3 linked regions of the Drosophila melanogaster genome follow. The protein of the gene in region 3 interacts with the protein of the main gene of each other region in a pairwise test. Each region holds a gene or a part of one and is shown on either strand. Other genes may lie near its edges.

Region 1 (10,616 bases), on a different chromosome or scaffold from region 3:
CTCGACCCAACTCCAAATGGTCCCATCCATGCATTGCCATCGCCAGCCGGATCATGCGCCTCACTATGCACCACCCCACCTGGCTCCCCGCGTCTGCCTGCGAGTAGCAGCACCTCCTCCTGCCGCCAGCCCAAGACTAAAAAGATCATGTACGATTTGACAGAGAACGACGACTTTGACCGCGAGCAGATCGCCACGTACGAGGAGGTGGCCAAGTTGTATCCACGGCCCGGAGTCTTCAGGCCCATAGTGCTCATCGGAGCACCCGGCGTGGGGCGGAATGAATTGCGCCGCCGGCTGATAGCCCGGGATCCCGAGAAGTTCCGCAGTCCGGTTCCGTGTAAGTTTTCTTAAGTTTGTTTTATTAAGTGAACAAATGAACTAGTGTAGAAATGACCAAGTGAACAAATGGACCTCTTTTCGAACATCTTTAATAGAAAACCTATTCGTTTTTTTCAGACACCACCCGACCAATGCGCACAGGTGAAGTGGCCGGACGAGAGTACATCTTTGTGGCCCGCGAGAAAATGGACGCGGACATCGAGGCGGGAAAGTTTGTGGAGCACGGCGAGTACAAGGGCCATTTGTACGGAACATCGGCGGAGAGTGTCAAGTCGATTGTGAATGCCGGCTGCGTATGTGTGCTGAGTCCGCACTACCAGGCGATCAAGACTCTGCGCACAGCTCAGCTGAAGCCCTTCCTCATCCATGTGAAGCCACCAGAGTTGGACATCCTGAAGGCTACGCGAACGGAGGCGCGTGCCAAATCCACATTCGACGAGGCGAATGCCAGAAGTTTTACGGACGAAGAGTTCGAGGACATGATCAAGTCGGCCGAACGCATAGATTTCCTATACGGACACTTCTTCGACGTAGAGCTGGTCAACGGCGAACTGGTCAATGCTTTCGAGCAGCTGGTCCAGAATGTCCAGCGACTGGAGAACGAACCGGTATGGGCACCATCCATGTGGGTGCAGTAGATCGGTTGCCAAATGTGGACAAGCATTTCATGCAGTTTGTTGATGAACACCAAAGTATTTTTGCCATACGAATTTAGCAATCTGCTAGAGAAACGGAGAAGAGACACTATTTACCCGTAGGCGGTCCTGCTGGGCACTCCCGTCCGGCCTTAGTCCTTTTCACGACATGTACCTTTTTGCGTAACAGTGAAAACAATGTAATGAATACAATAATTATTGACAGAAAGTGAAGGAAATTTGAACTCAACCAGCATCTAACTTACAATTAAATTATATAAACTTGTTGTACAAAATTTATTTGTGTTCAAAGAATGACTTAATTATAAATGTATGTATTACACGTTGTTGAAATCAAAGTACAGAGTTAATCCCCCCGTAAAACCTAAAGCTAATCGTATTGTATCTCAGTTGTATATACACTCACTAACTGAAGCATATTGGATACAATGTGAAGTTCTGTGTGACGACATGTCTCATTTCGAAAACTGATTTCACCAAAAACGTAGTGACAAATTGTTGAAAACAAGTGAGAAACTAATAAAAAAAAAAAACTATTTTAAATGCGATTGAGAGGGAAGCGTTTTTCATTAGCTTAGCAATTGATGATGTATATATTAACTTTATTTAGGTTAGAGAAGACTTAAACACAGCTTTATTGGGCAGCGCACTTGTTGACATATTGACATGCTCACGTACATATAAACTCGTAAATATAATCTGTCACCTATGCTAACCTATGGCAAATGTGTAAATTATTAGCTTAGGCATATGAAGTCTATCCAGGATGTACTGATCAGTTTTCTTGATTGTATCTTGTAGTGCGAAGACAGAATTCTACATCCACACGTATAACTGGGTCAGGTATCGCTGTCGTCTATACATGTTCTACGATATCCTAGCCTACAGCTAGAGTTGCGATTTGGTTCCAGAACGGGACACGCTTATTCCGTAAAACTGGGCCAGTCGTCTGGCCTCCCGCCATCCCGCCTCGACTGCTCCGTGAACCGTGGAGTAGTAGTGCTCGCTGGACGCTTCTCCGGCGAACTGGACAATGGGTCTATCGCAGCGACTCTGCTGCCACGCCTCGTCCTCCGAGTCCTTGTCCTTCTCCGGAGTGGTGGCCACCACGGTCAGGGGATGGGATAACTCCCGTGCACCCGTTCCCAGCTGCTCCGTGTCCATGGATCGATAGGAGTAGGACCCACGAAAATTGTCATTCGTATACCAGGCAGAGGTGCGGAAATTCGCGGGATCTGGGATTTTCCACCTCAGGAATCTTCGGAAGAGGTACATAACGCCAGCCTGGACCTCATCAACGGGAAGGGTTTCCATGTGCCTGCCGCTCTCATTGGTTATCCAGCCCGCCAAGATTCTCGGCTGATAGCTCACCCTGTAGAAGCCAAAGACATCCTCCAACCATGCTCGAGAAGTGCCGCGTATGTCATCCAAATCCTCGTCCCGCCAGAGCATGGTGAAACCCGTCCAATCCTCGGGCCAAAATGCCTCGGGAAACTCCACAAAGATTTTGTTGACCGTTCCAAAGGCCAAACCGTCAATGGCACGTTGTTTCTCTACTGGAAGCTGTGGCTCAAATAGCCGAAGGTGCTGATCCTTGAGAACTCCCAATGAAACCGTGACCACCACATGGTCAGCTATACAGGTCTCTCCATTGCTCATTTGAAGTTCCACGCGTCCGTCGTTCCGATTCCAGTTGATCTTCACAACACGAGTGCCAAGCAGGAGACGCTGCTCCAGAACTCCATGCTCCACATTTAACTCCCTGGAGCGCATGAGAAGCCGTAGAAGCTCCACATAGCCCTTGTCCTTCCAGTTTAGCAGGATATCGCCCTCGCACTCCCAATAGTCCAGGTAACCTCGTCCCGAAACTTGTTCTAGCGTATCCGAGGCCTCGACGGAGTTCTCGAATTTCTGATAGTTGACAAAGAACTCACTGGCCACCTCTGCGTCTATATCGGAGTTTTCCGGACGCCGGAGAGTGTCGTAAAACTTGTTGGTCAGATAGCTGCCCAAGGAACCGCTGCAGTGACGCAGCTCCAGTTGCCGGGTGACCAGTGAATCCCCGACGATGGCTTTCAGGCGACTAGATACCTCTTCCGGTACCACATCTCCGTTGGAGCGGACGCACTCATAGTTTTCGTAGACCGGACCCGTCGACTCCAGCAGCTCCTCATCCTGTTTCCGTGTCAGTTCGTACACAATGTTGTCCCGTTCCCCATGACACCATTGGGCACCCAGATCAATGACGTTGTCCGCAAAGGGTATAGTGTGTATGCGGCCACCTAGACGATCCTCCGCCTCCACGACGAGCACATTCTGAAAGCCCAATTCCAGCAGTTTGGTGGCACAGGCCACACCCGAGGCTCCTGCTCCGATGACAACGATCTTGCGATCCTGATTCCGCTGTGCGCCACTCATTCCGGGTAACTGAATATCTGGTTTGGAAATAAAGGGGTAGCAGAGCAACAGGAGAAAAGCAAATTAAATAATAAACACCATAAGTTCGAATGTGCTAGAGTGTGAGTAAGTGGGTTGTGGGCAATTGTGCGTACACTTGAAAAAAATCTGGTATACTTAAAAGCACATTAAGTATGGTTCCCTTTTCAACCCACAATATTTAGAAAATTATATTTGGATGATTTTTTCAAACTTGCAAACTATTTAAAAATTTGTAAAATTGTTTTTCAATTTTATGCAACAGTAAGCATTATTTAATTATGGTTTCCTTTAAACACACAATATTTAGAAAATTATATTTGGATGAATTTTTCGAAATAGCAATCTATTCAGAAATTTGTAAAATTGGTTTTTAATTTTACGCAACAGTAAGCATTATGGTTTCCTTTAATCACACAATATTTAGAAAATTATATTTGGATGCATTTTTCAAAATTGCAAGCTATTCAAAAATTTGTAAATTTTTTTTTCAATTTTATGCAACAGTAAGCTTACAAATGCTTGGCGTTAAAACTGTGTAAATTGTAATACAATATCACTTATTCGCAGTCATGCCTAAAATCTCAGAACGTGAATACGTTAGCTTTACTATCCATTGCAAATGTTAAAGTGAATAAAACAAGCCCTTTTAAAAATTCTTATGGTTGTAGGAAATTTGCTTTTCAAAATTCCCATTTTGCTTTCACAGATATGGCTTTTCAATTTCCCTTTCACTTTCAAAAATAGCATTGTAAATTGATTTCGCAATAAACTTATCGTATAATATACATAAACAACAGTCTGTGCGGGTAATTTGCTGATATATAACATGATATTTTCACCAACAGAATTAATTTTGTGTTTTTTTTTGCCATTTTTGCTTACTGTGCATTGGAAATTTGCTTATGGCAATGGTGCATTGCAATTCCAGACACTTGAGTTTTATTACCGTCCACTTTCCGTACAACATAAACTACACACGTCTTTTGATTAAAAAGTAACGGCATGTTCGCTCATCTGTTTCGATAACGAACGAATCCCTGCCCGCGAATCCGACTTTTGATAAGAGTTTCGAAAAAGCTCCCCCCACCCAGCAATGAAAACCACGAGCAACACACTGGCGTCCAAAGGAAAACACACGGCCACCAAGAACACATGTAGTCTGAAATATGTTCACTCGCTTCTTCTGGCCACATGCATTTATTAATAGCCACGGCAGCAAAGGGAAAGCGGAGGAAAAATCCCAGAAGGAGTATCTAGCCAACCGGACCAGCTGGTTTTACCTGGCGGTCAACTGAAATCTGAGTGTTTCCACGAAGAGCAGTAAGTGGGGGGGGGGGGGGAAAGAAATGGAAGCGGTATCCCATCTTCCGCCGTTTGACATTGATTTTATATATTTTTGGCCAACAAAATGCTCAAGGTTTTCAGCGGCAACAAAAACTGCACACAATAGGAAAACCAACCACAAACATCCGAGAGGAAGTCGAATTTTGGGTTACTGCATATTTGGGGGTGATAATGGGTGGGTATGTTCACTTCACTGCGCACTGTCACTCACCAAAATAACTTTGAATGCCGCTTAGCCGAAGTAATTCAACAATTGAACATTTCTACCGGAATATCAGGAGATATATATATATACTATATGCCAACTGCTGGGAAAACTCCAGCTCCGCGGAAAAGGCAAACAACACTGAATGCCGAAACCCGAAAAACATCACATGGAAACGTGCCGCTCTGCCCGTGTGCTTATGCTGTGACCCAGTGGCGTAGTCCGGATTCCCCGTAGGGGTTATGTTTCAAGCCTTTCGAAGATACCCCTTTGGTTGCGCCACTGTGCGCAGACTGTAAGCTCGCCAAAAAGCTCCGGGCAAAAGCATGCAACACAGCTGAGTGAGTGGGCAAATCGAGTGGGCTGTCGAGTGGTTTTGGGGCGCAGAGAGAACATGAGAAGGGGCCTGATACCCTCTCCTTGTGCACAGAGAAAAATTTGGTATTAAATACCATTTTCCAAATCATTGATCTATCAGAAGATAACATCTTGACTAATCCTACTATCCTTAAAAACATTAAAAAATTTGAAAGCTTGTATTTCCAATTTTTGTTTAATTTAGGCTTTCAAAATAGCGAACAAATTTTTGTATATGTATACAATTTCTCTCTGTGCACTCATACAGTATTTCTAGGTGACCCGTAAGAAGTACCTCATTTGGCTTTAAATTAGGAATTTAATTTATAAGTATATATATTTACTCAATTGCATACAAGTTTTTGCTAGATTTGGTTAGTGAAATTTCCTAAGACTCTTCGTTAAATAACTCGTTTGATATTGGTAGGTCCATTTTGTTTGTATGTATATATATGCAGATATATCCTTCGATGTATATACAGCTTACAGTTGCAGTATCCTTTGGCCAAATTGGGAATGACAGAACTCTGGAGCACTTGGTTTATATGTAAGTAGTTAGTTATCTTTTATTACCCGCCTACATTGACTTTACATGATCATTTGTCCGTAGCTTTGGAATTACATTATATATATATAGAGAGAGGCGGCTGGTAATAAATCAGGTTAAAATGTTTCCGTGTATATACAGCAAGGGAGTTTACATGGAATTGTAATTAAGAGCCCGAATTCAAAAGCAAGCTAAGTCATAAATAAATCTAATTTACACTAAATATAAACGATTTGGGAACAACGAAAGCAATTACAAAATAATAAACAAAATTATCACAAACAATAACAGTCCGGATAGGATGAGAATGGCGGCCCACTGTCGTTTATCTGTGAAAGAAGATGGATACAGTTAAGAATTAGGAATCAGAAGTCACAAAAGTATTCAATGGGTAATTTTGATTGTGGTTCACTGAAGCATTTACTCTTCATTAATATTTCAATCAAAATAGTCCTTGAATACCACAAGTGCCGCACCACTCACCATTATTCATGTGCAAGACTTTGGCAACTTTCTTCATGGTCGTATCCAACTTGGACTCCGTGGTATCGAACTCGTTCCCAAAGTCGTCTAGCATGACGGCCTGCTCATCGAGCTCAACGCCAATTTGCCGCGAGACCGTCTTGAGGGTACCAATCGAATCGCTGATCATGTCTAGCTGCTCATCCTGTCCCTGGATCATACGCTGCTGTATGGACACTGTTTCGCCCACGTACCTATGACTCGGACTGTCCATGCCGCCGTGATGCGTCTGCCCATAGTGACTGGGACTGTCCAGGGCGTTCTCCAGCTTGGAGTACTTGGTGCCGCTGTGGCGGGATGCTGCTGCCGCTGCCGCCGACATGGTCCCAGCTATGGTATTGGCCACCTGACTGCCGCTATTGATCAGCGAGTTGCCGTTGGGACACTCCACGAGGTACGTGCGATCGTTGTGTGGATGCTGATGGTACTCGTTGGAGTTGGAATTCGAATTGGGTATGGCAATGGAATGATTGTGATTGGGGCTGTGGCGATCGTTGTCGAGCAGCGGCTGGTGTGCGGTGATGTCTCTGTCCCGGCTCCGGTTCAGGCTCATCTTATCCTTCATCTGCTTGACCTCATCGCGAGTGTTGTCGATGAAGTGGCGCCGGCTGGAGAGTTCGCGGTTGTCGATCCGAAACTTGCTTGGATTCTTCTCAACGATGCGTGTGAGTCAAAATGGTATGGGTTAAGGAGAAAACCGAGGAGACTGATGAGCTAGAAAGTCGGTTCTACCGACCTTAAGATACCAAGTACTCTTTTTTTACAATTATAGTGCCAAAAAAACAAGTTCTGTACAGTTTATTAGTATAATACTAATAAACGAGCGAATTAAATCACGAATAAATTGCATATTCAGCAATTTTAAATGGGATCTCAACCTCTTTATGCGAAAATAAAACAGACAATGCAATTCGATAAATGAGTACCAGGTAACGAATTGATTTTTCAATGGTCTTTGCAAAAGGATATTGATAGTGTCCTCGAGGTCCTCGAGATCCCACTCGATGCTCCGTAGCGAGTTACGCAGCTCGGTGGTGGTCCATTCAGCCTCCGTTCCGCCGTTCTCGCCCAGCTCCCGCCAACGCAGATAGAGGCCGCGGGTTTTGTTCAGAGCTTTGAATACCTCGCTGTTGGGGAAGGGGAGGGAAATGAAAGAAAAAACAGAGATATAAGTAAGATAGCACTTTCCACCAGCAGTGCATGTGGCCATCTGCCAAATCGGGGACACCTACTCCTTGACCACGAAAAACGGATCCTCCAGAGACATGCCGCGTTCTCTTCTTGCCACAAAACGAAAACTAACACTCCTAGCAGTTTTTCACCAGCGTGGCGCACTTGACGGTTCTTTTCATGGATTTTTCCGGGCGAAAACCACCCCCCAAAGGTACAAGGGGGCAAATTGCAAGTTGGCAATAGCAAAAGCACTTCGTGGGAGTTACATCAAAAGGCAAGCAAATGGGGAGCAAATTTTTGCTTTCAATCCGTTCTATATAGCAGGAATTTCACAATCGACTGGGTTTTATCTTTCGCCTAGCAGCGATGTTTGAACAGCACGTTTATTGATTATTGCACTTGGACCCGCTCCGCCGCTTATCGCTCGATTTCTTGTGGATTCCGCCGACTTAGCTGGTTCCACCGATGGCCCAGAGAACACTGTCGCTATTTGCGCTCCAGAGATTAAGCCCCCACCGAGAACCACTACCCCACTGGCATTTGTTTACGCCGCTCCCGCTCCAGCGGCTGCGCACTTTGGTTCCTTGATTACCAACCCCTTGACTAACCGATTTGAAAACAACCCGAATTTTGGCCAAAAAATTCCACAACAACAAATCGTCGGCCAAATGGCCAGCACTGTTGCAATTTTCATCGCTCGCTCACCTGCTGCTCGTCTCCACGTCATTTAGCAAACTTCGGTCCGAGAACACGGTGACGGACTTTAATTTCAAGTTCACACGAGACAAATTCTGATAAATAAATTTAAGTAAAGGTTTTATTTCTGTTTTGCTGCTAGCAAAATAAACCGTAAGGCTTAGTATGACCCAAGTGCGATAGCACGTTTATCCCGCGATAATTTAGTATATATCGCAAGTGCAGAAAATACGTTACTAAACAGTTTGAATCAGGTGGCAGCTCTGGATTTGAATATATATTTATCCACATTCAGCTTGAGCAGCATAAACGAATATTTTGAAAACCTGCAACATTCGCATGAATTAAAGTTTACAAAATAGCACTATAAATAAGCTATTATTACTATTTCACATGAGAACGTTCGTAATAGAGTATTAAAATCATCTGAGTCAGGAAGTGTGACCAGGCGAGGGGCACAAAGCACTTAACTTCCGTTGTGCTACTGCCCCACTGACCACCGTTATCAATTTCATTTAGACCGCCGTCAAATAAGTTTGAAAAGTGCTGGCGAAATGTTGCAAAACAACGCGGTGCGCACTTTGCAATACGACAGTGAGATCCGTGTGGCCCAGCAGCCAAGTCTCTCAGAACCGAGAGGTAATTTAGGGCATATGGCTTTAGAAAACGAATAAAAACAGCGAGTGAATCACCCTGGCAAAAGGGTAACCGAATTGTTACCAACTGATAAGCAGTGCACCGGATTAATTATTGTTGCGAGCGAGTGTGTCACACAGTTCGACGCAAAAATGCGGCCACAAGTTGGCTATATCTTATCGGCCAGCGTTTTGTTATGGTCTGCGACTCCTCAAGTGCCTTTGTTTGGGACGATCGAACCCAGCGATCAATCCGATAGTAAAACCGTACCCATGATATTAGCTGTATCCTATACCAACATTTTCCTATTCCAAGAAAAGTAATAAAATATTTATGTGACAAGATTATGAAAAAATCGAAAAACTACTAAAGTTTTAATCTAAACGATTTGTTATAACCACAAAATATTTTCAATAATATTGCTATTACTCAGAGCTATTATTAGCAGAATGTTCAACAACCATTTTTATTTAATTCAAATTCACTGTAAAATTATGATCTTAAAACTACAACTTTAAATGAAATTTAAATTTAATTAAAATATTAAAAACTTTCAAAATTCAATCTATGGAAAAGTTTGTAATACCCTAAAGATATGGAAAAGGTTTATAAAATCTTAGTTCAAAGATAACAATATGGACAACCTTACGATTCTGCTCGTATTGGAAAATGGTCTATATACGATTTGTTTGTTTTTCTTCAGTTTATGACTCCCATATCAGCATTACCTCACAACCCAGGCCGGAGGCTCCACGCATCCCGCTGCCAGTGCCAATTGCCACGGTTACGGGAAGCCGGACGCTTATCCCACTTTCCGGATACGATTGCCTAGCAGATCTGCCGTCCGTACATATTGAACAGACCTTTGAGCTTAACGATGGTAAGTACAAGCCCAAAAATTAGCTAAAATCGCTTCTAATAGTTCGTCTTCCCTTTGCAGCCCTAACAGGCGTCTCCTCGGAGAATCGATATGTGGTGCGATCTCCACTGGGTGATGCCATTTTCGCGGCCAACGAGAGTTCCACAGAAAAAAATCGACTACTTTGGGGAGCTGGTCGACCCTTTCAGATGCACCTGCTGGATAAAACGCACCAGGAAGCTCTGGTTTTTCGCAAAAAACTAGCGATGGGATCCATGTGCTGCCAGGCAAAAAGTCTAGAAATTTGGATACCACCTGGTAATTTGCTGGGTAAAGTGGTGCAGTCGCCCACCTTCATGCAGCCGGAGTTCTTTATCGAAGACGAAAGCACAGGACAACTAACATTCTGTGTAGAGGGTCCTGTCGGTTTAGGATTCTGCTGCTTCAGTTTGCCCAAAGATTGTTATTTTAAGGTTGGTAGTAGCTTTAACATTCGGAACAGAATATTCAATTATAGTGTTTTTGTTCCCTTACAGATCCATTCGGGAGGCAATATGAGGGCTTCCATAGACCACAAATGGCTCGCCAGCAAGTCTCAGTACACCACAAATATATACTTTAGTGACGCCAAGCTAACCGCCAAGGAGCGGGCTTTGATACTGGGATCAGCCTTTCTACTGGTACTGTGCTCCTAGTTTATATACATATATCATTTGCCACAATAATGTTTTGTATTCGTTTTTCAGGAATATCTATTCTTCCAAACCCGCTTTTGACGTGATTAATCAATAAAAAAAAACATTGTATATTCACATTGATTTCTTTATTTTTTGTCATTTT
Region 2 (10,237 bases), on a different chromosome or scaffold from region 3:
TTTGTATGCAAGCATTTTATTTTTTTAAATTATTTAGTAATGGTTGAGTGCGATAGCTTAATGCTTGTGTGTATGTAGTTATGTATCTGAAGTTTTCAGATGTTTGTGTCTCATCAATTAGTCAGGACATAACCTAAGTAGCACCTATTACTAATTTACGCCTACGGCAAGGAGCAAGGGCACAGGACAAATAAAAGGACGTGGGCAAGAGAAAGTGGGGAAGTCGAGTCATTTATCACTGTGAAATTTATTAAAATGATTATCTCGTATCTACATTTCGCACGGAATGCCTAATTTTTTCCATGACAAAACAACACGCGCCTTCTTCCGAACTTCAGTTGGTTCAGGACTTTTTTTGTGGTTTCCTATTAGGGGCACTCCGGCAGTTTTTGCCATTTTGAGCCACTGATAAGGCAAAGGAACAAAGCGGCCCAAAAGTGTGGCGGTGCACTTAGAAAAAACTTTATCTATTTTAGGCCTAAAATGTCAATCAATAGCTTCAATAACAAAATCAATTAACAACCATTGTTTTTTCTGGTGTTTTAATTCTTTTAATTTATTGCTCTTTTCATTGATTTTAAACATTAATTTATGATAATATGGCAATACATGTGGCTCTTAATATGAACATATTAATATGCGAATATGTAAAATAACTTTCGTTTTATAACCAGAACTAAAGTAATTATTTTTCAAAAATTCTTTCAGTGCTATGGGCGGAATTTTTGGTGTCCCTCGGCTGGGGCCATAGTTTAATTGTGACATCTGAACAACTCCACAACCCCTCCGCTGGAATAACGCCTCAGGAGAGGGCAATTAGTTGAACTGCGCCCTGGGGAATTGAGATAATTAAAATGACTTCCACTGCTGCTGCTACATGCGGAAATATTTTTTAGCCAACTAATCTGATTGCTCCTATATCAACTCTGTCAGCTGAGTGTATTCTTGTGCGTTTGCTCACAGCCCTTTTGAGAAACGAAACAGAATCAACATTTGCATTCAATTCGATGGCAAAAAGCACTTTAATATATTTACCCCCATTGAAAGTCATTTCGTTCTAATCCTATTAATTCAAATTCAAACACTTTTACCACCGCATCAAATAGAATTGCTTTTCGAAAGACCAAGACGAGGGGTAGAAATGTTTGGCTGTTCTTTTTGTGGGCGAAAAAAATTGCATTTCATTGTTTTTAGCAATCAGAAAATATTTTACCTTGGCCAAGGGATAGCTTTTCGACTATTGTGTTCCGAAAAACGATTTCCTTTTGACCAGGAATTCAGTAGCACCACGAATTGAACTTGGATTCAATCAAAAGTAAACTAGAAAACGCAATCACGACGACAGCTTTTGCCAAATGACAATTTAGAGTGTTTGATGTGGATTTGTACTCATTCGATTCGAAATGATTTTTGGAAATTAGGTTGAAGAAAACAAACCAAAGAAATTTGATTGTTCCTATCCACAAAATATACTTTTAATTATTAATTTAGTTGCCAGAAAATATTACAATGAAACACTGAAAATCCAAGCCAGATGAGTATGTAAGCTATGTAAATATAGCTCCTACATTGATTTACACTTAATACACTTTTGAAATGTATATTCAGCTATAATTTAATTATTCGAAATCATTGCAAAGTTTAATCCTTTAATTTTATTCATACCAAGAGTATATAACAATTTTAATTTGTTTGTGGCCTAATAGCCGCCGAATTTTCACTTGACTATGCCCTATTTAAATGCATTCCAAACCACTCCATCCCCACCAGGCATTATAATGAAGATGAATTTTTGTAGATTGTGTATTTATCCGGTTCGTGTAGCAATTTCATGCTAAAATTTGTTTGGCCAAAGTTCCAACTCAGTTGATTTTCTGGCTTTCATTACGCCTTGGGCCAGAGTGTAGGCAAAATTTAAATAATACAAAAAATAATATATATAATATATATATAGGTTTGTGTGTAAGAGGGGGTCTTTAAAATGCCTTTTTTGGGGGATACGCAGACCCCATTAAATATGCAGCAGACGATCCTAAAACACGTATCATCCTCTGATGCCGGCGCAGTTTCGCACTTTCGTTGCGCTAAATGAGTTTCAGCTGCAAAATTAAAAACTTTATCAGAAGCAGCAGGCAGAGGTGTGAGTGTGTGTATGTGTGTGTGTGGCAAAAAAACTTGAAACTTTTTCATGAAGTTAAAGCAAAGTAAAATCAAATTATTGTGGTTGCTCGCAGGCTGGCAAAAGGATTACGCGATGGTGGATCTCTGCCTTACCGCTCTTCTACAACCAGCACCACCCACTCCGCCCCACTTTCCACACCACTTTCCACCCCATTTTCCACCCACTGCGGCACCCACCTGTAATAAAACATGCCGCCACTGCATTTTGGGAAGGCTGCCAGACAGAGGGACGCCGTCTCCATAGCCAGACAGTTAGACTCGCCTGGCTGCCTGTTCACATGAAGTTGGCGCATTCTAATTGAATTTTCACTTTTTTTCCCGACCGCTCTCACCAACCGCCCTCCAAGCACCCACCTGTGCGACTACGTGACGATGGCCTGGCACAGAAATTGAAATAATTATTTTTAATCTTAAGTACGACTTGCGCGTAATGAGATTTGGATTATCCCGGCGCCCTTTTTTCCAACTCCCCTAGACAAGTCTCTACGAAAAAGAAACTGTTTGCTGTGAGACGCATAAAAAGTATCTGTGTGTTTGGGGATGACACAAAAGATGCGAAATTCTCTTCCTAGTGTGTAGCAACTATTTTGGCTGACTCAAGAATATAATTGTGTTACTTTGTAGGGAAAAGCTATATATTTGCTATAAACTTATTAGGACAACCAAATTTAGAGATACGACTTCTACGGGCTTATCATTCATTTTGTGACATATCAAAGTCTTAATTTTCCTTATGAATATCTTTTACGTCTTGCCATAAGGACAGCCGAAGGACGTCTGCCACAATTTCTGCATCGTGATCGGCAATCCCTGCAAAGACCAAAGAAATCCCTGGGTGGGAGATCCTGCATAGTCTGCAATCGACGGGTATTTCTTTTTACTGAACCATGTAAGGATTTAGAATCCAACGAACATTCTCTATCACTGTCATCATATTTCCCTTCAAGGATATCCAGTAATTTTAAGGCAGTTCGCAGACGACATTGTGCTTCCTTTTTGATAGTTATGGTTCGGAATTTGCCATCCTGCTTTCGGGAAACTCCCGCCTGCGGGAACTTGTCAAATTTTTTTTCCGGAATATTTCTTTTTTTAAAACTCTGTGATAACCTTTGCTTCTGTGGTTTCGCGGCAGTTTTAGAAGTTCTTTTCAGGTCTTGACTAGCTTTCGACATTTTCCGTTTAATATTCTTTGACGTTTTTCTAGATCCTAGTCCTTGGTGGATATGTATCTTCTTTTTGGTGGATGCACTTTGCCTGGTAGCTACATCCATAGCCGAATCCACTGTGTCCGTTTCGTTCTGTCTAAAATCGATAAAATGTTTCGATTGAAGGAAGTACTGTCCATCGTTCGAACTATTTTTTTCTGCCATAATCAAGAGAATTTGCCTTTTTCGCCCTTTTGAAAATCTTACTACACTTCAGATTTTGATTGTGTATGGAATAAATCAGGGACACTGAAGAGTGAAACTTGATTTCTTTTTGATTTTCTTGACTTGGCCTACGTTGGTGCATAAATTGCCAGCAGGCAGGAAAAGTTTGGCCACCCACAACCCTCGCAAATATTGCATTTTCATTAAGTTAAAGTTTGGTTTTTAGTTTAATTTTTTCGTACCCTCTACGCCTTTCCTCCCTCCGTTTACTTAAAAACTTTTTGCGGCAAGTTTTTTGGCCCAAAGTTTGCATGTGTTTATCTGTCAGTGTGTGGGTATAAACGGTATATGTATGTGTATATGTGTATGTGGGTGAAAGAGTGTGTATGAGCGCGTGTAATAATCATGTGCGCAGTCAAAGCAAAATGACGATAGCATTGATGCTCCGCCTAAAAACTTTTGACGGGCCAAGTTGCTTTGGGCCAAGTTTCAAGCTGCCAACTACAGCATCGCCTATATATACCTATATACCAATTTCCTCGAAATATCTGTCTGCCAATAAGAAGCTTATTTAGTTAGTAAGGCTGATTAGGAAGAGTGTTTAGGACGAAATTAACTTAAAAGCAGTTGAGAAAGTATATTTTTTGTTAATTTATCCGATTAATCAATGAGCATCAATATTCAGGGATGTGTTCCTATGACATATGTATATGAAGCTATATAATATATATTATATAGACAAATTTAAGACACAAACATAAATGATTTTTGTTGTATTAGTTAGTTGTAAGTGCTCTATAATCCATCATGAGCCCTTTAAATTGTTTTCAATAACTAAAGTATTTGATTCTTAAGATTTTTTTTAATTTCCAATCTAAAATCAGTTTTCCATTTCGCAGTCAATTTTCAGCTTCAGTCGGTTTCTTTAATTATCAATGGAAAATATCTAAAATTTCTGTTTTCGCACTCGTTCGCTTGCAAAACTTCGACGTTTCATAACAATAGTGAAATGCGACGGACAAGAAATTTTAATAAACTCAAAGTCGAACTGAAAACCATTTTTACACTTGGCCGATCGTTTACAATAACTAAAAATTGAACAATTCTTTCTATCACCGCACTTTTCACAGTTTATGTCAAAATGAAATGAATAAAATATTGGCTGGCCACCCGGCGACACTCAGAAAAGGGGGATTGCCATCATCCTTTTTTTAATAAACTTCGCCCAGTTTATAAAAAATTTTTGAATATCAATGTGCGAGGCGAATATTGTCTATTAAAAGAAATGGATTTTTTTGGTGTATAATAATGGTAGGTCCATTGCAGATTCCGCTTAAATATTCTTTAGTGTTTTTTCAGCTTTGATTTTTTCTGGTTTTGCTGCAGTGGGGCGACTGCATATTGTGGGTTATGAAAAATAAATTAAATGCTAAAGATATAGTTTTCGTAGGGTCATTATATCCCTTACTCAAAGATTCGTTGAAAAGTATGTAACAGGCAAAAGGAATCGTTTCCGATTTTTTAAAGTACATATATATGTATATATACATAATATATGTATATGTATAATTGTATATATATATATATATATATATATATATGTTATATATATATATATATATATATATTTTATATATATATATATAAAAGGTATTCTTGATCAATATCAATAGCCGAGTCGATCTAGTCAAAAAAACTTTTGGCCACACCCACTCTAACTCCCTAAAACCGCCCAAAACTAACTAATTTTCTGTCGATTTGCAGAAAACATTTTGCCACCACCACGCATTCTCACTAGCTGAGTAACGGGTATCTGGTAGTCGGGGAACTTGACTATAGAATTCTCTTTTGATTTATATTCAATTGCTAAAGTGTTGAACTATGAAGCATTACAATAATAGAGAAGTTGAACTAAAGCTAAGCTTTTAAATTTATTTTTAACTTGAATAGGATGGGCAATCTTAATTAACCTGCATTTGTACTGAAACTTTACGCTATTTAAATTTGTTTAATAACGCCAGCTGTATATTATTACTTTAAAGGTGTACAAATATGAGTTATATTGTGAATAAGTGTGTGTACTTTGCACTAGAGCATACATATATGTAGTTCAAATGCACCTCATCTATCCTTGTTCACCTTTAGTTCTTGCCCCATTTTTATTGCTTTTGTGTACTCCAGATGTGAGCTCCAACTTGTTGACCCAAATATTGGCACAGGTCCTTGAGCACTCAACAACTTGTTGGGTCATCGTCATCTCTTCTGCCCAATGAGCAAATCATTTTCACTGGGCAATGGGCACGGAACTGGCAACCGGGCAGCTGCACTCTACTTGTGCTAAGCACATCATTATGTTGGCTCAACTTTCCGATCATTTTTAATTACCCACCCAAGCCCTCTTTTCGATTTTCTCGCCAGGTCCAGCTTGCAGCACCCTTATTTTTTGTTCGCCATTAATTTCTTTAATGGAACGCTGCATTAATAAAAAATACGTTATGAGCGCATAATAGAAATAAAAGCTAATGTAATTACATGCCGCACTTGTTTCGCCTTGTTGCAGTGCAAAACGACGAGAATTTCCCACTCCCAGTCTGCAAACGAAAATCCTAAAAATTTAATTCCAACAGTTAGAGCCAGTTGAGCGATAAAAGGTGAAAAGAAGCGGGTATATGGGCATTATAAAAAGCCGTAGAGAAGTATTAGTAATGTACATATAGCGAGAAAATAAAAATTAGGGGGCACTTACTTACTATTACGCTTAATGTAGTGAACTGAACTAAAAACAAAGACGCTTAAATTACAATGCATATAAGTACGTGTAAGCTTCTTATGGTTAAAAGCTCTTTTTTTTTTTGCTTATTACGATTGTACTATTAGTCAATTAACGTATTTTATTAAACAAATTAAAACGATTCTTCCCACCTTCTTAAACTCGTTACAAACCAATTCAAGGGTATAGGAAACTTTGAGTTTCGCCCACTAGTTTTTCCTATTTTTCCTCTATTTATTTTTGTATTTTTTTGCCATGTTGTTGTTGACTGCTGTTGGGTGCTTAAAAGCTTTGCATTAACTATTAAACGCAACTTGAATCGCATAACGCCACTTGGCACACAAAGAGGGTGAATTCAGAGGGTGACGGGTTAAAAAAGAAATACAAATTCGTGTCAGAAAAAGTGGCCGCAGGTCTAAAACAATAGAAGCCAAATTATGGCTAAAAGCGGAAAAACTGCCACACGAATCGTTACGCGAGTTGTGCCTATAAATTTGGAGTCTGCCGAAGCCAGGTGAGCAAATATACATTTCAAATAAATGCTTAGGTGCACACAAAAAGCGTGTGGCAATTCGGATAATGGATTTAAATACAATGTGTTAGGATCTGGCTACTTAAGTTTGATATAAACTTTTAAAGATTATTTTTCAATCAGTAAAATATCACAAATATTTAAGTTTAATTTAGTATAACACTTATTTGCGGGATTTAAGTAAGCTGTTCAAATACAAAGCGGGGTCTTACATTAAATGCTTTGCTATTTCTCGGATTTCTTAACTTAACTATGAACATGTCATCGAATTTTACTATACAAGTGATTAATTTTATTTTTAGTTAAGTGTACCGAAACTGCAGGTTTTACGCTAAATAAACTTTTATTTATTTTACTGCCTGACCCGCCTGGTCTTTCGCCTCTTTTTTTTTGCTCTTTCAGCAGCACGCGAGGGGTGCTAAAAAATTCATAGAGCACGGCTGGCGATACTGGCCAAAAAGAAGGGGGGATCGGGTGTTGTGTTGTGTAGCTGAAAATTCCTGGGCCAAAGGAGTCGAGAGTTTGAAGCTGTTAGTCTGACAGGTTGCAATGCTATAAAATGCAATCAGCTGCAAAGAAAATAGGTTTTGCTTCACCAAACAGACAAACTGAGGAAGGTTTTGAGGGGAAAGAGGAAAAAAACTGGTGGAAAACAGTAGAGTGCATCCACAGGAGCTGTTTCTACTGCTGCTGGATGGCATAAATTAAAGCGCAACAAGAGCAAACAGACTCAGGGCATATTTGCCAGCACGCACACACATACACATACACACTGCAGTTGGGTATGAGTGGGGGAAAATGTTCATGGAGTTTCCCGAATGGATGCGAAAAGCGGAGTATCATCAGGTATATATAGACAAACAGATTGTGGGCTGACTGCGGACATTCAATGGAATTGCCACAGGAGAAGACAAGACACGATGATAATGCTTCAAAGCGCTGACAACTTTCCGCTAAACAATCCTCTCCATTTTACTTGGTACATTTTCATTTTGCTTCTACGCCTGGGGCACGGCTACGTTTAATTGCCGCCTGTCGCTCAGCTAGACAATTGCAAATTGCCTAAGCGAAGCGGTTGCGAGTCAGTTAAAATAAAACCACATAATTACATATTCAACAGAAATTGTTAGCCTATTTTGGATAAAATCAATTAGGTCATACATAACCTTTGGCGTACCAGTTTGACGTGCTACTAAACAAATAGTTATCCGAATGGTTTACCATCAGCACACTGAACGGATAAATGTAAACAAGTGGCGCCCAACGTGGAGCGTTTTTGGCTTATAAGTAATAGGTTGGAAAAAGAGTTGTCAACCCTATGACGCAAAAATATATGCTAGACGATCTGGTCATACTGGTATTCTTTCTATTTTTGAAATTTACTTTTTAGCTTACTATTTAAAAAAAATCTGAGAAGTTAAAGTTAAGTTTGTTGCATTTTATCCCCACTTATTTTATGAATTTCTTTCGGAATTTAATATTTCTTAGCTATGCTTGCTACACCCTTTAACTCAATCAATCAATAAAGTAATTTATTAGAAGCTGCGCTTAACTAAAAACCAAACTGCTTTCCAAAAACCCACGACAGCTATTCAATTTCAGCTCCGTCAGTGGCTTTGATGGACCAAAAATTGAGGAGGAAGTTAGTAAGCCAAAACCCCAGCCACGCCCACACTCCTCCACGCCGCCGAATTACAACGCCCACGTCGCCCCTCGAAAATTCCGTTGCAATGTGAATTTGAATTGCAATTGCGAATGGCCGCGTGCTGGAAATTAAATAAAACACTCGCAACGAAAGGCTGTTAGGATAGGAGCATCCGCAGATACAAACTTTGTCATAGGGAAAAGTTTTGCGCTGCACACTGAACCAAAATGAAAACGTAGCCGAGCGTGATGAACCATGGCAGGATGCAAAAGGGGTGGAATCTCTGCAACGAGAGGAGCAAAACCAGGATGTCCTGACATCTGCACCCAGAACAATCAACCAACAAAAAAAAATAAATAAATAACCTGATATAAACTGGGGCCCTCGCTCTGATGCTGGATCAAGCTCAATTTAATTGCGTCTGACCAAAAGTAATCTACGGCAAAATGTAAACAGCGATCCATCGCTTCAAGCACGATAAATCATATGGCTCACTCATTTGTGCACTGCACTCTCATATTTGATTTATCCCATGGCCAAAAACCATCACCAACTGTCGAATCAATTGCATTTTTCGGTTAGCAGCTGTATGCGATTTTTGATGGAACACCGTAGAGCAACCACTTAGACCTGTTATTAGCCATCATAATTCTTGTGTAGACAACGAGCAGCTGCCACTTTTGGGTCCTCGAAACGGACGGACAGCACATCTATCAATTTGCTACCGCCGACCCACATGTACTTCTCACCCTTCTTTGTATCCTGTTCCATTCCGTCTATCACTTTTTGTACGAGGGCCTGCATAAGAAATTTAAATAATTTTTGGAGAAAAAAAAACGTAGATAAAATGGACGAATGGATCAACAGGATCAAAGTTATGATACTCTGTGTTTTTACCTATATCTAATGATTGGTTTTATAAGTAATCAAACAAGAAACTGTCATTCAAAATACGTTCCCTAAAATAAAGTTAGTTATCAAATTGTTGATGACTATTAAATTTAAGGTAACTAAAGAAATCTCTGTGAGTTTTTTATGCCATGTCTCGAGATTGGCAAACCAACGTGGACAAACTTTAAGGGGTATCCAGTGAAGAAAAGAAATCACATCAACACGTTGATAGGTGGGCAGGACGAAGGATGAAGTTGCGGCCATTTATCAGAGTCATGGACCCATAAATAAAACAAATAATATGAAAATATGCAAAATAAAGAAAATAAAAACATTGAAGAACAGCAAAAGAGGAGAAAAAATGTGAAAACGCACCCAGGATACATTTTCTCTAATAGATGGACTGAATGAAATGGGCCTGAGCCCTGGGGCTGTAGCCACTTAACCACCAGAACACCCTTTCTTCGCATGTGGATAGCGTTAAACAAATGGCCGATGACCCATAATAAAAATTATTATGAATGAAACAAGAACAAGAAAAACCCATTGGGCCATTGCCAACCCCCTCGGCATTCCACCGTCCCCTTGCTCCATCCAATAAATTGGGATGCGTGTGGCAAAGGCATGGAGAAAGTACCCTGTATCCTTTGGGACCGGGGATGCCGAGAATGCGATGCCATCGCAATGTCCGCCCCGGAATTATATTTGGGCTCTGTTCCAGGGCACGTGCATCAAGATTCAATTGAGAGTTCTAAACACAAAAATGGAAGCTGCTCTACAATGTTGTTGCACGCACACACTCTTACTTTCTGCTCAATCTTTTTCTTTGAGTGTGTGCGTGAGCGCGG
Region 3 (10,383 bases):
CCAGGCCCTCCTGGATCGCACTGCTAAGCTTCTTTTTCAGGTTCCCGAACATCTTGCGACAACGGATCTCTATTTATTTAACTTAGCGATTTCTAATTGTCTTCGCGCTGGCGTTTTCCATCGAAAATTGAGTGGTAAATAAAGAATCAGCTGTTCGGGCAGGTGCTGAGAGAAAATCGGTCATAGAGAGAGAGAGAGAGCAACAGTTTGTTGCCGTACACGAGAGGCATATCAACTATGGCAAGAGCTCTGGCACGTGGTTTTTATTACTTACTAAAACTAATAAGTATTATTAACATTTCAAATTTTGCATTTTTATTTTATAATTTAAATAAAAAAATGAACCCAAAGTTGATATTATAAACAGACACAACAGGGTATCATTCGGTGGTATATTTAGTATATTACTATTAAACATAACTTAAAAAAAAACCAACCAAATATGAATCTATCTATGGCAGAGCTTATATCTGTAATAATAATATAAAAACAATATTCTTAGTTTGGTTCAACTTCAGTTTGTTTCCTTTAAAATTTCATTCTGATCTTACATAACGATTCTCTAACTAAAGTTTAGCCTAATTAATCCTCGGTCAGGTCCACTGTAGTGACAGCTGTGCTATCGTCCACTTGTTGATTTGTGCTATCCGATTGAGACGGATATTCAGGTTCAGACGCAGGTTCAGTTTCACATGCCTTTTTTTTGGGCTCTTCATGGTACTCAATTATCTCAATATCACTATTATCACCAGATTCTAGGGTTATACAGCTGCGTACGCTGTTCTTTGCTTCTGAATCTGAGTCCGAGCTTGATTTATTGCCGCTGGACTCGGAGCTCGAGCTTACTTTAATGGTGAGAACATTTGGCTCTTCGTCGCTGGATGAAATGGACAGGGCCTCGGGCTTCTCGGATTTGTCCACCTCTTCGTCGGACATAAGTTCCCGGAATATATCGCTTATAGGAGAGGAGGAGTGTTCCTTAGACTCGCTGGCTTTCTTTTGGCTGCTCGGGTTTAGTAATTGACCATAGGCCATGGCCACTGCAAGAGCCATTTGCTTGGAGTGGTTTAGGAACACATCTGAAGGCGGGGGTATACGTAACGACTCGCTGGGTGCGGATTCCCAATCGCAACCGCTGCTGCTCTGGCTGCTTCTTCGTCTTCTGTGTGATTTTTTGTGTTTTTTAACCTTCTTTTTGCGCTTTTTTCGCCGATGTGAACTGCTGCGACTTCGACTGCGGCTTGAACTTCTGCTGCTCCTAGTTCTTCTTCGGCTGCGATGCTTCTTGGCCTTTTTGTGGCGGCTCCTGCTGCGCCTTCTGCTGGAACTTCTGCTTCTATCAACACTTTGAGTTCTGGGTGCATCGCGGCTGTAAAAGTAGTTGGACTTCCTCCTTTCGTGCACATCATCCAGATCCTGCAGCTTCTGTCGGCAATTTGCCTGTGTGCGCTCCTTTTCTCTATCATTATGCCGAATCGCGGTGTTTATGGTGCGGCCTAAGAAGCGTTTGTTTAGTTTGCCCAGAGGATTCACTTTGCGTTCGCTTTGTTTCGAGGTGCTGACACTGGCATTTGCACCTTCGATCTCGCGCATTAGCTCGGCAATCGCCTGACTAACGTGAGAGCATCAAATTAATTAAAAATATATCGGATTGTAATATAAATATTTACTTTGTTAGGTCTGCGTCCATTTCCATTTTTTGTGTTTGTTTATGGCATTTAATTGAATACCAATTGCTGCGAAACAAAAAATACCGCGGACGGTAAGTGCTACTTATAAGTATTTTTAAAATACTAAGTATAAAGCGATTATTGTATGTGCGTTAAATTAGCGTCGATGAGTTCGCGGCGATGACGGAACGGTGGAAATCAAAACATGGGGACGTTTTTTATTTATTTATTTCTTTTCGTTATTTGGAGGTGAATTGCAAAAAATAAAATAAAGATCTTACTAACTATTCCCACATTTTCGGGAATTTCTCCACTCGTAGAGCGTGACCACTTTTAAGGACATTTCTTTAGGGAAACGGCGGGGCAGACGTCAAGACATTCGTTGGGCCACGGGTGACAGTCGGTCGGGCGGGGCAGCAGGTGGGACAGTAAGCGTGGGGAGCCAAGTTTTCAAGTGCATATTTCATATACTTTCTTGAGTCCTATGAACTTAAGTCGTACATAGGTAGTTAGATATTTTTTTAAACGTTATTGCATTTTTTTGAATTCAATAATGAAAGAATAAATTATTCAAAATTCCATCGTTCCTCCGTTCCTCCTACACTAGCGATATTCTTGTCGATTAATATTGTCAGAGTAATCTTTTCTGCAAAATACCACAAATTAGTCCAACGATATCGATTGGCACAATCATCGATTAAAGTTTAAAAAATGACGACCGGCCGCAATAAATTGAATTTCTAGTTGGTTAAAGTAACGTTTATTGAAGAAGATCACATAATCGAGTACGACTAATATCACAGGTGAATCACAATCTTTATGTTTCAGATTCCTGGCCAACTATTTCCTGCCGTCTATCACTTTCTGCATCCAGGACACGTATTTACTGACGCGCGTGTAGATTCCGGGCAAACCTGGACGTGCACAGCCGATCCCCGTGGACACCACGCCCACCAGATGATGCTCCTTGGACATCAGCGGACCGCCAGAATCCGCCTGTGAAGGTAAGTAAACCCGGAGCATAACATGTGTGCCGTATCAGCCAAGTGAATACTCACCCAACACGAGTCGATTTGACCGTTTTCATAACCGGCACACAACTGTGTCTCTCCAATGGTATTGCTCTTGCCCAAGGATCGGTAGGACCTCTCGCACGCCTCGTTGTTCCAGATCTTAACGGTAGCCTTGCGCAGTACATCGGATCGATCGTTTTCCGCTTGGTTCTCGTGCGTCCAGCCCCAACCGGAAACTGTTCCGTACTCCTGCTCCAGACTTCGGTGCCCCTCCTCGGATCCCACGCAGCTGGGCTGGATGTGTGAAGAGAATCGGATTGGCTGTACCAGCTCCAGGAGGGCTGTAAAAGAATAAAATACCAATTTGCAATAGCTTAAGGAATACTAAGAATAATAAGTATTATTTGATTCGTCTCTGATTCATTATGGTTAATGTTAATATCCTTTGTTGAAACTATTTCCTACCTATGTATTTCTGTTTGTTTTTTTAAAACCTAAGCGCATATTTTTAATGGTGTTTTACTAGATTAAAATTTTTTATTCATTTTACTGAAAAATAATGTCATGTTAATGTCATATTGTTGATTTATGATTCAGTTCTGTACATATGGAAAATAATTGAACCTGCAATTACCCCTTAAAAAACACACATACCTATATCGTGTTTCACATCGTTGCAGTCGTATTGCGGATGGGGCACAATGTTCTTGAAGTCCACCCTCAGTGCATCCGGACCGTTGCCAATCCCGTTGAGGTACTCCCTGATGCTATGCAAACCCACAACTCCTTGGATTTGAGCTGGTTTCATGAACTGCTGCAGCCCATTGCAGATGCAATGTCCCGCCGTGAGGATCCATCGCTCCGAGATGATAGTGCCGCCACAAAAGTGACCACCACGACGCATCAGACTGACCATGTAGGGCATTTCGTTGCGCTCCGCCTCACTACCTCCCACGATTTTTGGATTTCGAACCGAGCATGGCTGGTTGCTAACTGTCATGGGAGTCAGAGGAATTTCAATTTGCGTGAGTTCATGATAAGGAGTGTTGAAAATAATTAGTTAATATAAGCAGAACGCATTTATTTATATTTCTCATAATCTAGTAAACTTTTCCTTATGCACGTTTTATGATTATACAAGTTTTGATAGAATCTTGAAATATTTGTAGGTTGAGTTCTTATCAAATAGGGAAGCATAAACTGTTGCAATTGGAACATTAGATGTTAGATTTATCCAGTGAATTTAGCATATAAATCCACAATGCTAAAAGATCATGCTTTCTTAATTGATATAAACTAACCTAAAATATTAAGGACTGCAAAAATGAATGGAATATTAAACACAAGTTAAAAGTTAAAAGGTAGTTCCCAGGAATCCTAATTTAGGAACTATAATTATTTTATTTTTCATATTATATTTGACTTATTACTCTTTTCGTCACATTTGTTCAATCAACTCACAAGCAATTTGGGATTGTGCACACTTCACTAGCGACAGAACCGCGACTACGAATACGATTTTCAACATTTTCTGTGTGCACAACCAGTGTTCTTAGCCCCGAAAAAAAACCCGTTAAGCACGGCTCAAGCTTAAACGAAACTGCCACGAATATTCTGTGCGGCAATTAATTTATATATAGGTGTCTGGGCGTCCAGCGCCTCTCCGTTCCACTGACTTACTTCACTGTCGTCCGGAGTTCTATGCGGATTAGCCGGAAAGCTCGCTCTCTCGGCCTGATAACAAACGGAAGTCGCAGCCGGGCCTTTGGCACCTGTTGCCTCAGCTGAGAGCTTTTTTTGCGCTGCACTACCTGTCTCATCGCCTTTTTTTTTTTTGCTGGTATTGTGGGCATGGGTGCCATGTGCACACGTTATGGCATTTCAATTGCTCCAAGGGGGGGGGGGGTGAATTAAGGAGCTGCCGAAAAGTCGAAAACAAACCCAAAAGTAAACAATGGCCGAAATAAAGTTTTGTGTGTTTTGCGTTTTATGACCCAGCGAAGTTCATGACATTGAAAAGTGCGCGACAAAAGGTGTGACAATATTTATGCTGAATTTTCGATGCCACCACTACGAGTTTATTGCACCTCTATCCTTATTTTAGTACATTATTATTGCGATTAGCACGTATTTAGGGTGTTATTGAAATTGTTGTATGGTTAATAAAGAAAAGGGTGTAAATATTATTATGACTTGTTAATCAACTGAAATGCTATTGCATAACTACAGAAAATTTTATAAATGATTCAAAACCAACTCTTTTGATTTTAAATTTCTTTTTGCTTGCATGTAGTATCTTTTATTTCTTCAGTTCTTATGATTTACAATGCATTTTTGTGTTCCTACAAGATCTAATTTATCTAATCTATCTTAAGAAAGTTAAAAAAGTTTCTAGGATTTGCGTAATCGTTACAGTTATGTCATTGCCTGCATTTGACACAATTAGTTCGCACATTGCAGCTAACCTTAGACGTCATATTTCCATCAGTTTAGACCTGGTAGTTAGTAATCGGGCCTGTTATGCAAATTAGGATGTCTGCGCTGCATATGAATACTGTGATGGGACCAAAAATTAATTGAAATTCAATGTCGGCGCAATCAATGTAATATTAGCCGCTTGACATTAACATTGCCCTTAAAACTAACGCATGGCCCACACACTCAATGCAATTGGCGACATGGGAAGGTTGATACACCATCCATCGCATATCAAAGTGATAAATGCAGGTGGAAGTGCATTTCTATGACATAATATGTATTATAAGCAATAGCATGCCAAAAATGATGGGTATTGAAGTGGGCAAAGCAGGAATTGGAATTGAAACTGAAAGTTAAGACGGAGTATGACAAATCTACAGACCAAGGCATTAATAATTCATTATCCACAATCTCGATTCTCAGTCGGAGCACACAAATCAGTTCAGTGGATCAGACAAGTATGCCAGAATTACTAATTGATTTCATGACTTTGGTTCCTTAACCGAAAACCAGATAGCATCCCAATCGAGTTCATTGATCGCGGCAGCTCTGTTTCGCACTAAATGCTAATTCACTAAACAAATCGCCCATAAAAAACACTATATATCCATTGTCTGCCGTTGACTGGCGTTGATACCAAATAACCAAATATAAACAATATTAACAAACACGAGTGCGGAGCTCAACTGAAACAAGTTTCAGGCGCATTGACACCCGCCTTTGGGCGAAACTTGGGCGCATTCAATGTGAAGGTCGCTTCGATTTGAGGTACTTGAGTTATGCTTGACAATTGTCATATTATTCAGCTATTTCGCTACACTTTTGTTTTCATTTCGACGAAGTTCAACGACGCCGCTCTCAGGTGACTAATTGCAAGGGGGAAGTCTTTGGACGTCGCTAATGCGGGTGTGTTTGGCGCTATAGGAAATGTTTTGGGGCGCAGTGAACCCATTTAACTGGCAGGTATTTATAGGAATCACGAATGGGTGGTAGTGGGTTATAAACAAAAACATTTAGCATAGATGCTTCAGTTATGAAATTTAACTGTTTATTATCTTCTTAATTGTGACTTAATTAAACTAGGTATGTAATTATAGTTTATAGTTTTCGTAGTGAGTAGGCTTTAAATAAAACATTACGTTATAAAATGGAACTATCTACAATCGTATAAATTGCAATTTAACTATATATAATTATAGCTTATAGTTTTCGATTGAATTTCGAGTGAGTAGTGGTTTCTAAATAAAACACAAGGATGCTTAAGTTATGAAATTGAACTGCCTAGAATCATATAGATCACAATTTCAGTAATTTATCAGTTTATATCTTTAATTAATGGGATATAAATTGCTTCTAAATATTACATATTAATTATGTATATATATAAATATTTATACTTGTTCTTTTATTTTCGCTAACCAAATTATCTAGTTTCACTACAAAAAAGTCTTTGTTACAAAGATTCAACTTGCTTAACAAAGATTCAGAAAAAAGGTATACATTTATTTAATTCAAAAAATTATATCGCTGGAACTTAAATATAAATATTAATAATAAGTATTTCAATTTATCTATAAAATCGTATGTATAATTAGCAATGCTTTTTATTTAAAGTAATTAAATTTGAAATCTCTATATATTTTTTAAACATAATTAATGAAATAAATCTTAACTTACCAAAACGAAGTGCTTTGAAATCGTCAGCGTTGAGGGGATCACTTATCTGGTTTCAATTATTGCTCGAAAGCCAACTGGTAAACAATGAGGGCTTTCTGAGCAACAATCAAAATTATATAAGTGTCCGTGAAGGAACTCTTATATAAAACAGCCAAACTTAGCCAATGGCTTAACACAATTTTGGGCATCACAATGCACTGACCATTTGAATGTTATTCTTATTCTAGGCAGGCCAACACGTCTGCTCGGTGTGAGAGCCGCACCGGAACTGCAATACGCTTGTCCAGCCGCTGACGTTGTATCCTTGTGATCCTGGCACTAGCTGCCAGGCAACACGAACGCAGCCAGCGCCTTCGCGAACCGAGCGGAAGCCAACAAGGAAGCAACATCCCTCGTTGTCGGCGGCTTTTATCCTTTGGGCCTATGCGGCGTATGCGTGTTATGCAAACGACCGCAGCTCGGCTTTCGCTCGGCTGCCTTTTCGATGGCGACCAATGAGAGTCCTGGCATTGGTTTTTTATTGCCGAGGACCTACACTATTCCTTGTTGCGCAGGCGTAAATTATGTCAAATTTTGAATTTTACTTTTTAGTTTATTTCGTTTCGCTTATGGAGATACAGATTGTTTCAATTTATTCTTGGCTAATTTAAGCAGTTTTTAATTGCTTAAATGGTTTTCATTTAGTTCTTTTAATGGCATTTGACCGATATTGTATGTTTCAGTTTGGAAGTTCTTAAAAGGTTTAACTATTCTCCGCATAAAATTAGTTAGTCAGTTGGAAATAGATAGAATAAATATAAACGATTGGTATGGGTAAAATAATTCTATAAATTGAAAAGCATCCGAAGTTAAATGTTTTTTTGTATTTCAATTTTATTTCAAATTTGCTTTTTTAGGAATGTAACTATATTCGTTGGTTTATGATGTAATAACTTTAGTGACTCTCGCATATATACATATATCAGTTGGATAGAATAGCTATTCTTTCCTATATACTGATGCATATCAAATTTTTAAATTTGAAACTAATGAAATTTTAGTATTCTAATTGGTGTGAATTGCATGCGTTTTTTTATGATGGATGCTAACTTTTGAATTTATCAAGATTTATGTAAAATTATTTCTTTCACTTCAGCTTAAGATACTTTTGGAATTTTATTATTGTGTAGGTATGATGAAACTATTTTGATTTCGTGAACCTTTTGTATGGCAATTGTACTTGGAACACGCAATGCCTTAGAGAATACCCCACATCAGTTTGTTTTTAGCCCCACCGCTCCCCAATTATTTCTAAACAGCCACAACTAAAACACAATCAACACATTCGCAAACTAAATTTCCATGAGCTGACACTTACATTTTATTTGCGAAATTGTGATTGACAAGCTGTTGACACGCTTTTAAGAGGTCTAAGGATGAAGTAGCCGAGGAATAGCCCCTTTCGCGGCTGGGAGATTTTTCGCAATTAAATATTGAAGCCAGCACACGGGCAACATGTAACATTGCAGCAATCGCAAAGAACTGGGGAAATGCAGTCATTGCAACCGAAGCGCATCAAATATGCTGGCTAAATTATTTATGAGATTGTTCCGCAGGCGAGGCCTGTGCAACATTTCAATATGCTAATTACTTTTCGACTTGGCCGGGAAGGCAGCGAAAGGGCCAAACGAATGCAAGTGGGCGCCACTTAAGCCGAAAGGAAAAGGTAGAGCAAGTGCTAATCATTGCTAGATGCCTGCCACCGATTTCCCAGGTGGATGCAAGTTCCGTAACAAATGCCAAAATCTATCGAAGGCGACACTTCAGCGGAAATAAACAGCAAAGAAAAGGCAGGCGGCAATGGATTGGAATGGAAAGGCAGGCATGGAAAATGTGTCTAAAATTTGGAGAAGTAAACTTCGCAGACCTCCTGATGTCAGGTCGCAGTGCAAACCCTTATCCATCTATTCCGCGGCATTGTTTTTGCGTGACAATTGGGCCAATTTATTATTCATTAGGTTAAAAAGTCACAGCGCAACAGAACACACAACACGAACTGAACCCAAACTGACAGCCAGCCAAGTCGCAGCCATTTGTAATGGTTGCGCCAAGAGGCTGGAAGGGATTCCTTGATGGATCCCGGCAAGCTCTGGCATTTCAACAATTTAACCTGCAACTTTTTTGGGGAAATGCTCTAATTGATTTGCTCGGAAAAATCCTGTTTACCTTCCTGCTCTCCCAACTTTTGGTTCAAGTTTAATTCCGACAGTTGCGGTTCGAGATTCATTGTTGGCTAATTAGATTGTGATCAGGTAAACAAAAGGAAACCAAAGTTGGGACATGAGATACAGCTGGACTATTGTTATAGATTTTGTTAAATAACAAGTTTAGAAAACTAAGGACACTACAAAAATTTGGTGAATTCAGTGTGATCCTATTGTTAGATGTTAGAATATGATTAGATTGTGAATAGTACAAACCAAATTGCGAAACACGCACTTTTATCACAAAAAGTCTAAAGTCAATTATTTGTAATTCAAGTAATTTTTTTAGTTAAGTTATGTGAATGATTTTTAGGTGACTATTAATGCTATAAATTGCATATTTGCTTTATGACGGTAATTCAATTTTTAAATGATTTTATTAGTTTTATATAATTAAATTCAACTATTATTATGAATGTTAAAAATGACTACTAATCAAAATGTAAATATGTTATGGATTTGATTAACCAGAGTTGTTAAAAATAATATGCGAAAAATTTCCTTGCGTATGTGTTTTGTTTTCAGGGATTTCGGTTTAGTATTAGTATTTACTGGATATGGTAAGTTATGAAGTCCAAATATGCATTATAATTTTAAAATTAGTGTTGAATATACACTTTAATTAGGCACAGCTTTAATTAGCCTCTTATTCAAGACTTTGCTCAAAACGTCCCTAAATTAAAGGAATCGCTTTGATGCACATCAGTGTCAAATACGAGGCTAATTAAATATAGTTTTTATATTGTTATATTGTGTTATTGTTAGCTTGACAGCTCTAAGATTCATTCAATATCCTTGTTGTTTCTAAGCTAGTTTCAAATTTGTTAAGTGCTGAACTACTGTCAAAGAGATTTAAGTTTTTATTGGAACTATGTATTCATCATCCCATTTCGATGCAGACTTTTATATTAATTAAGTCAGCCTTAATTTAATTCATCTTAAATAACCATCAATTCGCATGGCCATAATTTATTTTTTCCGCCAAGGAATGCCTTACCAAGGCCTAATGGACACAAATGGAAATTCTATTAAGGTTATTCCTTGGATCTCCGCCACCACCGCATTTGTCACATCCTGGGGAGTACTCGTCAATTAAATCAGGCAAACAAACGTAAAAAAAAAAAATGAGGAAAAATCCTTCCGAATGCGCAACGTCCTGCGGCATTGTGGCTTTTTGCTAGCTGACTTCGACTTTCAACCTTTTCGGTTTTCGGGATTGTTACGTAAAAAGGATATGGAGATGTGCTGAGTAGTGTGTGTTCGGCAAGTCAGGTGTCACATCGATGGGCGGAGGGGATGGCG

What was found.
Region 1: the proteins of CG14074 (region 3) and CG7737 interact in a two-hybrid assay, tested with the Drosophila melanogaster proteins (one large-scale study listed by BioGRID).
Region 2: the proteins of CG14074 (region 3) and CG31804 interact in a two-hybrid assay, tested with the Drosophila melanogaster proteins (one large-scale study listed by BioGRID).

What each region holds. Positions count from the first base shown.
Region 1 is NT_033778.4:11,217,387-11,228,002, reverse strand, and holds CG7737 (uncharacterized protein), read right to left. Parts: upstream 4,559-10,616; 5' UTR 4,405-4,558; coding exon 4,320-4,404; intron 3,434-4,319; coding exon 1,887-3,433; 3' UTR 1,257-1,886; downstream 1-1,256. Other genes in the region: metro (menage a trois), read left to right, coding at 47-340, 460-980; Syx6 (syntaxin 6), read right to left, coding at 6,143-6,219, 6,374-7,075, 7,382-7,622; CG9084 (uncharacterized protein), read left to right, coding at 8,836-8,920, 9,621-9,797, 9,840-10,249, 10,313-10,456, 10,523-10,552.
Region 2 is NT_033779.5:17,356,911-17,367,147, reverse strand, and holds CG31804 (uncharacterized protein), read right to left. Parts: upstream 3,653-10,237; 5' UTR 3,552-3,652; coding exon 2,913-3,551; 3' UTR 2,797-2,912; downstream 1-2,796.
Region 3 is NT_037436.4:18,857,549-18,867,931, reverse strand, and holds CG14074 (uncharacterized protein), read right to left. Parts: upstream 1,708-10,383; 5' UTR 1,671-1,707; intron 1,613-1,670; 5' UTR 1,594-1,612; coding exon 583-1,593; 3' UTR 501-582; downstream 1-500. Other genes in the region: Dysb (dysbindin), read right to left, coding at 1-52; CG6865 (uncharacterized protein), read right to left, coding at 2,511-2,666, 2,729-3,024, 3,338-3,676, 4,145-4,211.